Danio rerio: one gene and its partner. The protein of the gene in region 1 interacts with the protein of each later gene in a biochemical or structural test. Links are inferred from orthologs where the notes say so. Each region holds a gene or a part of one and is shown on either strand. Other genes may lie near its edges. The genes, in order: tcerg1a and sf1.

What was found.
Region 2: the proteins of tcerg1a (region 1) and sf1 form a complex in vitro, tested with the Homo sapiens proteins (3 studies listed by BioGRID). The link is inferred for Danio rerio from reciprocal best matches to the Homo sapiens genes TCERG1 and SF1.

What each region holds. Positions count from the first base shown.
Region 1 is NC_133189.1:58,547,326-58,551,776, forward strand, and holds the start of tcerg1a (transcription elongation regulator 1a), read left to right. Parts: upstream 1-1,328; 5' UTR 1,329-1,337; coding exon 1,338-1,384; intron 1,385-4,449; coding exon 4,450-4,451. UniProt on the Homo sapiens protein: Transcription factor that binds RNA polymerase II and inhibits the elongation of transcripts from target promoters. Regulates transcription elongation in a TATA box-dependent manner.
Region 2 is NC_133182.1:22,788,345-22,792,647, forward strand, and holds the start of sf1 (splicing factor 1), read left to right. Parts: upstream 1-1,487; 5' UTR 1,488-1,623; coding exon 1,624-1,870; intron 1,871-2,749; coding exon 2,750-2,878; intron 2,879-4,303. UniProt on the Homo sapiens protein: Necessary for the ATP-dependent first step of spliceosome assembly. Binds to the intron branch point sequence (BPS) 5'-UACUAAC-3' of the pre-mRNA. May act as transcription repressor.

The DNA of each region.
Region 1 (4,451 bases):
TGTTCTGTCCAGTAGTGTGTGTTAGGTTGTGTGTTATGGCTAGTAGTGTGTGTTAGGTTGTGTGTTCTGCCTAGTAGTGTGTGTTATTGTGTGTTTTCTGCCCAGTAGTGTGTGTTATTGTGTGTTCTGTCCAGTAGTGTGTGTTAGGTTGTGTGTTATGGCTAGTAGTGTGTGTTAGGTTGTGTGTTCTGCCTAGTAGTGTGTGTTATTGTGTGTTTTCTGCCCAGTAGTGTGTGGTATTGTGTGTTCTGGCTAGTAGTGTGTGTTAGGTTGTGTGTTATGGCTAGTAGCGTGTGTTATTGTGTGTTTTCTGCCCTGTAGTGTGTGTTAGTGAATTTTCTGAACAATAGTGTGTGCTGGCACATGTTGTGTGTGTGTGTGTTCTGACCCGTCTCTGCTGACAGTTGACCCAGTACATGTTGGGTTGTTTGTGTTTCAGGACTCCTGCTCTACACACACGGATCTCCGCTCCGCTCCGCCGCAGCCCCGGGCCGCAGATCAGCCTGTCCGCTTTCGGGTTCGCGTCTCCGGCTTCAGGAGGACTGAAGGAGAACAGCAGATCGCCTGGAAGAACCACATCTCCTATCCTCTCCAGCAGACTAGTGTGCACTGAGGAGTCCATGATGGAGGAGCGGAAAACACACACAAACACACGTGTCTGAGCACTTCCGGCACGGGGACTCTTATCCTATACAAATTAACTCATTAAAACCTCTCCAACCCTTTATGTCCACAACAGAAATATATTATAAAGATTTTTCTAAAAGCATTCTTAATATCATTCGACACCGGTAACCATCGACATCCATTATAAGAAAATAAATTCTATTGAAGTCAACAGTTAACGTTACTGGTTTCCAACGCTTAAATAACTTGTGTTCAACTGAGACATGGAATTAAACCGGTTTGGGACATGTAACGTTAACGGTTGAGTAAGTGATGGCAGGATTTATTTTAAGGAGATCTACCCCATTTATTAATATTTAGTCTTTGATTGTTTTTAAAAACGAAATATAATTAAATCGTAAAAACAATCAATAAATCAAAAACTGGATAAAGAGAGGGAGAACGTGCTAACATTCCAGCTAACACAAATCTTCCCCTTTAATTTAGGTTATTTTTGGGACTAATTAAACTAAAACTATAACTAAAATAACTTTAACTAAATAGGAACGTTCTGGTAACCAAAACTGTTGGCCAAGTTACTGGACTATACCGAAAAATGCATATTTTTTACCAGTTAAGTTAAATAATTCATACTGGAAATAAAAGTCACGATGTTTCAGAAGTTTGAAAACCGCTGAGCGGGAAATGGGGACTTTTGTGGCATTTCCGTTATGGCGGAGCACACAGAGGCAGAAGGCATCGGCCTGGCTGCAAACAGGTGCAGTTTTCGCTTTATTTTTCCCTCTCAGATAAACACAGACCCCCGGTTATCATTCGCCTTAGTTTATCCCGAAACTCCTCTGGGCTTCGTCTCCAATAAGGCAGATTTGAGTGGGTTTTAGCCTCGTCTGGCCCGTCGGAGGGTGGACAATGAAAGCAGCACAGCAGCAGTCGCCTCACTGTGTTTATATCGCAGTTTCCGCCGAGAATAAGAGCTTGAGGACACACACCGAGTCTCAGAAATAACCCTGTCAGTGTGTAGAGGGTGTGATGTGGCTGTGAGATCAGCTGGACAGTGTGTTTATGATGGAGTCAGTGCTTCAGATTCAGGTGTACTGTAATGAACACCTTCAGCAATGCAGGAGTCAGTGCAGACACTCCTCCATCATCAGTATCTGGGGTTAAAGTGTGTGTTCTGCTCGTCTTCAGCGTGTTTATGGTGTGTGTGTATCTGTTATTAACAGTGTTGGGGAGAGTTTCTCTCGAAAGTAACGGATTACAGTGTCGCGTTACGGTGTTTTAATGCAGGTGATGTGCTGTGAAAAGGCTGGAACTTTGCTTTTGGCTGAAAATGAGTTGTTGACGCTTTTGGGATATGCAGGATTTCCTTCAACACATGGACATGTTCCTTGAGCCACTTGTGTTTTTTTTAATTGTCACATTGCCAGTTTCCTAACAACAATTATTTGATTTAAGTAATTTTTCCTCAGTGCTACAGTAGAGCTGCACATGATGCTATGATATGACTCGCTGCCTGTCATGTTTATGGTGATATGTATCAGGCATGGGCTGGTATTAGTTTCTGACCGTATGATAACCTTGGACATAAATATCACGGTTTCACAGTATCATGTTATTGTGCTCACTGCTCTGAAATATTTACTTTTTAAATCTCTGGTTAAAAAACTAAACTTTTTTTTCCTTTTTTAATATATATATTCTATTTTGGGAAACATTTAAAATATTTTAGAGCAGTAAACATGTCAGGCTAAATCATTTTAATGAATCATTCACTTCTGCAGTCTTTGTTTTTTTATAAACACTAATATTTTTCCAGTTTAAAACAGAATCTTTGATTATATTTTCTGCTGGAGATACTGCTGTCCTTAAAAACAAAACAAAAATTAATAAAAAAAAAAAAGAAATCTTATTTATACCTTAGGAACGGGATAGCGGAAAATTTTCATGGTTTTAAAACCTTGACTTTCCCAAACCATGGTATACCTTGAGTCGTCCCATGCCAAATATATATATATATATATATATATATATATATATATATATATATATATATATATATATATATATATATACATATATATATATATATATATATATATATATATATATATATATATATATATATATATATATATATATATATATATATACGAGCAATTCCGTGCAAATGTCAACCTTGCCATGAAGAAAATTAAGTTTTCCTCAAAATACCGAAACCGTTTTTTTTTTTTTTTTTGGACAAGTATTTTACAGTACAAACTAATCTATTTGATTTAGCAAAGTCATACAAGTGGCAACTTCACATTTGTCACATCCATAATGACACTTTTTTTCTCTTAAATGTGAAAATATTAAATAAATAAAATCAATCATGTTTATTCTACAGTGAGCGACTCTTCTCCTTAAGATTAGCATTGTTTCTTTTGGGTTGTGCAGATTAATTGACAGAATTTCTACAAAGCATGTTGTATGCAGACGTTTTTTTGCTCGCATCCATAACGCATGTTTATTTTCCTCATTTAAAGTATAAAACATGTCTACAGATTGATCATTTCTGCTCCCTTAACTCTGTGGCCAGTTGTTCTGGAAAATATAAACGGCTGTTTCAGTATAATGTTATCATGTGCTTTCACTGTGAGTTTATGTTTTGAGTTTTTACTGCAAATGTCACATCCATAACACTGGAATTGCTCATATATATATATATATATATAGGCCTGTCATGATATCTGTTTTTTGTTGTATGATATATCACAAGTATTGTGATAAACGAATGATTACAGCTCCAACATAAAAACAAAAGATTTGTCTACATAAAATGCAAACTTTCAAGACTGCAGCCTTCTGATGATGCTGTTATTCGCCTTTCTGTCTGCATCCCTGTAATTAAGGGTCATATTTCACTCATGTAAATTATTAAATTGTATTACTGTAACCAATGTATATCATGACATAAAGAATAGCACATAATATAAAACCTTTTCTGCATATATCAGCATATTGCACAGGCCTAATTCAATTCTTAAAGTTTCTTCATATGTAGAAAAATGAAGTAAACTGGTAACCATCGACCTCCATATTTGTTTTTCTGCTGTGGATGCCATTAGTTACTGGTTTACAACATTCTTCAGAATATCTTCTTTAGTGCTGAACAGCATACAGAAACTCATGAAGGTTTATAAGCACTTGAGGGAGAGTAAATAGTGAGTAAATGTTGATTTTTGTGTGATCTGCCCCTTTACCTGCTGAGTTAGTTTCAGCATCGATATCGCAGTGTCTGGTATATAATGCCAGACAATATAATATCATCACAACGCAAGTGCACTCTTCCAAAAAACACATCATACTTTATTCTTAAGAATATTTCATTTAATTATTGTCATTTTAATGATTTAATAATCAGACATTGGAGTCAGAATGTGAAAACACATCCTAAATAAATAATAATAAAGATAACAAGAAAAGTGCAAGATGAAGAGAAACAGAGGCTGTGATATCTGCTGCCAGATCTGTTTTCAGTCGTCAGACACCCACATATAAATATACTATTATAGGAAATACTACAGTGTATTTAACCATGCTGGCTCCTCCAATAGAGATAGAGATGTTGCACATCAGCTCAGATGTTTTTAGGTATGGCGATATATATATATATATATATATATTACATCACCAAAAATGATTGAGGTGGTGTTCATGTGTTGTGTGATTAGTCCATATATTGGCCATTATAAATGGTTGTCAGGATATGAGCTGAGTTATGTGGTCATATGTGATTTCTGTCATTAAAGTGTGTGTGTGTGTGTGTGTGTGTGTGTTCAGCA
Region 2 (4,303 bases), on another chromosome or scaffold:
CCGCCAACTTATCCAGCTAGTTTTTTACGCAGCGGATGCCCTTCCAGCTGCAACCCATCTCTGGGAAACATCCACACACATATTCACACACACACTCTTACACTATGGACAATTTAGCCTACCCAATTCACCTGTACCGCATGTCTTTGGACTGTGGGGGAAACCGGCGCACCTGGAGGAAACCCACGCAAAGGCAGGGAGAACATGCAAACTCCACACTGAAACGCCAACTGAGCCGAGGTTCGAACCAGCGACCCAGAGACCTTCTTGCTGTGAGGCGACAGCACTACCTACTGTGCCACTCCTTTGCCCGTTATTAATTCTAAGGGTTCGAATTATACAAATGTAGAATAATTAGCAAGGTCAGGATATAATGTAACTCAGTAGTGTAAATGGGAAAAAAATAAACTATAATACAAATAAAATCTAAGTTTTAAATGTAATTTTATCACTCATATAGACATACTGTATCTACCAAAACCTGACCTGCACAGTAAGAGTAGATAAGATACAGCTGTGTATATGTATATCATCATTTTTTGTGACACTGTATACCAATAATTAACATGTTTACAGTACTGTGACGGTTGGATTTAGGGTTAGGGTAGGGTTCATTTATTTTCATGAGCTAAAGGGTTCATTTAATCCCTTTATTTATCGGGGGTCGCCACAGTGGACAGAACCACCAACTTATTCAGCAAATTAGCAATTCCAGCGTTATGGATGTGACATTTGCAGTAAAATCTCAGAAACAATGCTCATCAAAAGGATAAGAGTTGGCTCATTATAAAACAAAAATGATTGATTTAATTTAATTTGACATTTTTCCATTTACTAGGCAAAATCTTCGTTATTGATGTGACAGATGTGGAATTGCCACTCATGTGATTTTGGTAAGTCAAATATAATAGTTTGAAAACATTAATGGAGACATTTTTGAGTATTTTAAAGCACAAAAACCCAGAAACAGTTTTGCTATTTTGTCGAAATCTTTTTTATTTATGGCAAGGTTGACATTTGCATGGAATTGCTCCTATGTTTTACACAGCGGATGCCCTTCCAGCTGCAACCCAATACTGGGAAACATCCATACACTCATTTATACTCATTTTCTCCACACAGAAAGGCCAACTGCCAAAGCTGGGGCTTGAACCAGTGACATTCTTGCTGTGAGGCGACAGTGCTAACCACTGTGAAAAAAACACTGTCGCCCTAATAAAATATGGGAAATGTAATTTTCGTTGTCTGCCAGCCATAACCGTATCTGATCTAGCTACAACCTGACCACACCGCACAGAAAGAGCCAACCTATCCTGGAACATATGGCCGGCTTGGCGACCAATGAGAGGTAAGTAAATTGCTCCGACGGAAACACGACAGACCTTAAATGATCCAATGAATGTTCCCCAAACACAGATTGACACGACTATCGACCAATCGGATATTTCTAAATTGACGTCAAAGCTCCTTTGTCGATCTCAGCGGACGCCATCTTATCCAGCGGGTGACAGAAGAAGGTTGCGTGGTCGGAGACACGCGTTCGTATCAATTGATTTATCAACAAAAGAAACGGATACATTCTGTGCAGATATCGAACCACGAAGAAGCCCCTGACGCCCAGAAATGGCAACGGGAGCTAACGCAACCCCGCTTGGTAAGCTGCACCCGAGCATCGGCGCTAAGCGAGGCTTTGACTCTGGCCCCGGTCCGGGGTTAATGCCTCCGCCTGGGCCTTCGGTGCCTTTCCCGCTGCAGAACTTCCAACCGCCACAATTATCAAATCCTGGGTTCCCGCAGTTTCCCGGAGCCGTGAGCTCTGCGCTCTCAAACCCTATCGTAGTAGGACAGCAGTCTCAAGCGGGAGGCGGAGGTAAACACCGTGGACAGGCCTTGACTCCTTCAGGATCAACGGCCTCCATTTATAAAAGTAGAATGGCTGGTTACCGTCATTAATAGTCTTACTTGTTTTTACAATGCCATTGCATATTAAAAATCTTTGGAATGTGTAATTATTTAACATGTTCATTTGGGGGATCAAAACTTAATCTAACGTTACACGTTAAAGTATTGTGTTGTATTTAACACTGAACTCTGAAATGAAATATGATGCAGAAAAATCTATTGTTTTGAAATCGAGCAGTGTTAACATTAGACAATAAAGTGCACACTGTTTTTTTTAATATAGATTTTTTTTTTTCAGTTTAGTGCATAATATGGTATAAAAAGGGTTGGGAGCTTTTACACAGCAAATGTACATGCCCAGACTGAACAAAGATGTTTATTACATTGCAGTGTTTATATGGCTAACGATGTTAAGTTAATATAACGTGGCATTTAGCAGCAAACTGCTTGCTTAAACTGCTAAAAACCTTAGAATGCTGTCTTAAATATTTCTTAAATTATTAGTATGTTTCGTAATATCACTTTTATGGCAAAGAATAAGTCCTTTTCCAGGTCTTTAAAGTAAAATATTTCAACATAAACAAGAGAGGCAAAGGTGAAAAATTGATGGAAATTTCAGACGGCACTTAAGAGGTTTTTGCATCTGAACTCTTCATATTTATAATTTCTTTTTAATCAAAGAAAAAATCCTATGTTTACTTTTTAAAAGTGTAATAATTCAATAAATTAAACATTTTGCATCATAAAGACATGGTGAACGTTTCTGTGAAGTTTTGGTCTTAATTTACAGGCTTTAGACATCCACAAATCAGACATAATGGCTTAATTTGTTTACATCCCCTGTCAGATTTTGGACAGAAGAAACGGAAAAGAAGTCGCTGGAGCAGCGAGACCCCTGATCAGAAGACTGTTATCCCGGGCATGCCCACCGTGATCCCTCCTGGGCTGACTCGGGACCAAGAACGAGCTTATATAGGTGAATATCTAAAATTTGCTATTACAACATCTGTCAGAGTCATAGAGTTTAGGTTGCAAATAATTTTGTATGTGAACGGGGGAATATTCTGTCTACACCCAAACAAGTCACTTTTTTTTTTTTTGTCCCAAAACTTGTTTATAATTTTTTTTCTCACAGTTTGCACATCACATGAAGGATGTAACTGCTTAATTTCATTAGTCTGACTTCTTTGCTGATACAACTGATGTCAAATTAGTGAAAGAACCTTTATGTTAAAGCAACAGTTCAAAACGGTCATCTCTATATGTCTCAAATGACTTTATAGAAATGGTCTTCTCAAAGAAGTCAATCCATCGAAATTCAGCACTTTGCCCCATATTTACTAGAATGCACTAACTCCATCAATGTGCAATGTGAGTGCCATTTATTTATTTTTGTTCGTTTAGGACACACTGAGGTATTGGTAGCACTGTCAATGTTTGCATATACCATCTGATGTCCATTAGCAAGAACCCACTGTGTTTTCTGATGTTGCTGCTTGCTGTGAACTGTCTCCAGCTGCAGAACTCCATCACTGCTCATGTTTACTATGCAAAAAATGTCTCGTCCAATTCGACTGCGAAAGCAATGCAGGTCCGATACTGAATTGCTAAAGTCATCTCCATCCCCTTGTGTCTGAAAGCAGTGTGTAGTAAATTGCTTTCTCATTGCTGTCAGGCACTTGTTTTGCAGTAGCATGTGGTGTAGTGTTTGTTTCGACTATAATGTGACCTAGACCTACATCTCTTTAACTACTCCTCCTTTTGACAACTGACACCTCATGTCTCTTACCCACCATCAACCTGCACCATTCAATGTGGGGTCCGATTCTCTTAAGCATGTCATAGAGAAATGCATGTGAAAGCCCATGAAATGCTTCCATGAGTGATGCAGTAATTTGGTTGGTTACAGGTCAGTCTTTGGGTTTGTACAGGCTGATTTGGTTGGCGTGGCTTGAGGCCTTAGTAAAATAAATTGCATGATAAAACGACCTGCTAAAGGCTGATCTGTTTGTCTTAGAACTTATTTATAAATATTGGATTTTACTTAATTGAGTAGTGTTTGTAACTACTGGTAAGTTGCTGACGTGTCAATAACTTGAGTGTTGAATGTAATTGTTTATGTATTGGCTTTTCACACCCAGTGTTAATGACTATTTTTTTAACATAGTAATTTAATTTCATTACGCTGGTGTTATTCTATAACTTTTTATATGAGGATGCATTTGCTCAAGCCATTTAGCCAATATGTTTTTTGATTTCTTCAAACACAACTTTTTTTCCCCCCTCGACAGGCCTTCATGTTTTTGCCACCTTTTTAGCTCATGTGAACTAATGTTTTTAAGGATATGCATAATGTGAATTTTACTTCTCAGAGTTGGTGGCATAAAATGGAAAGCCTGTT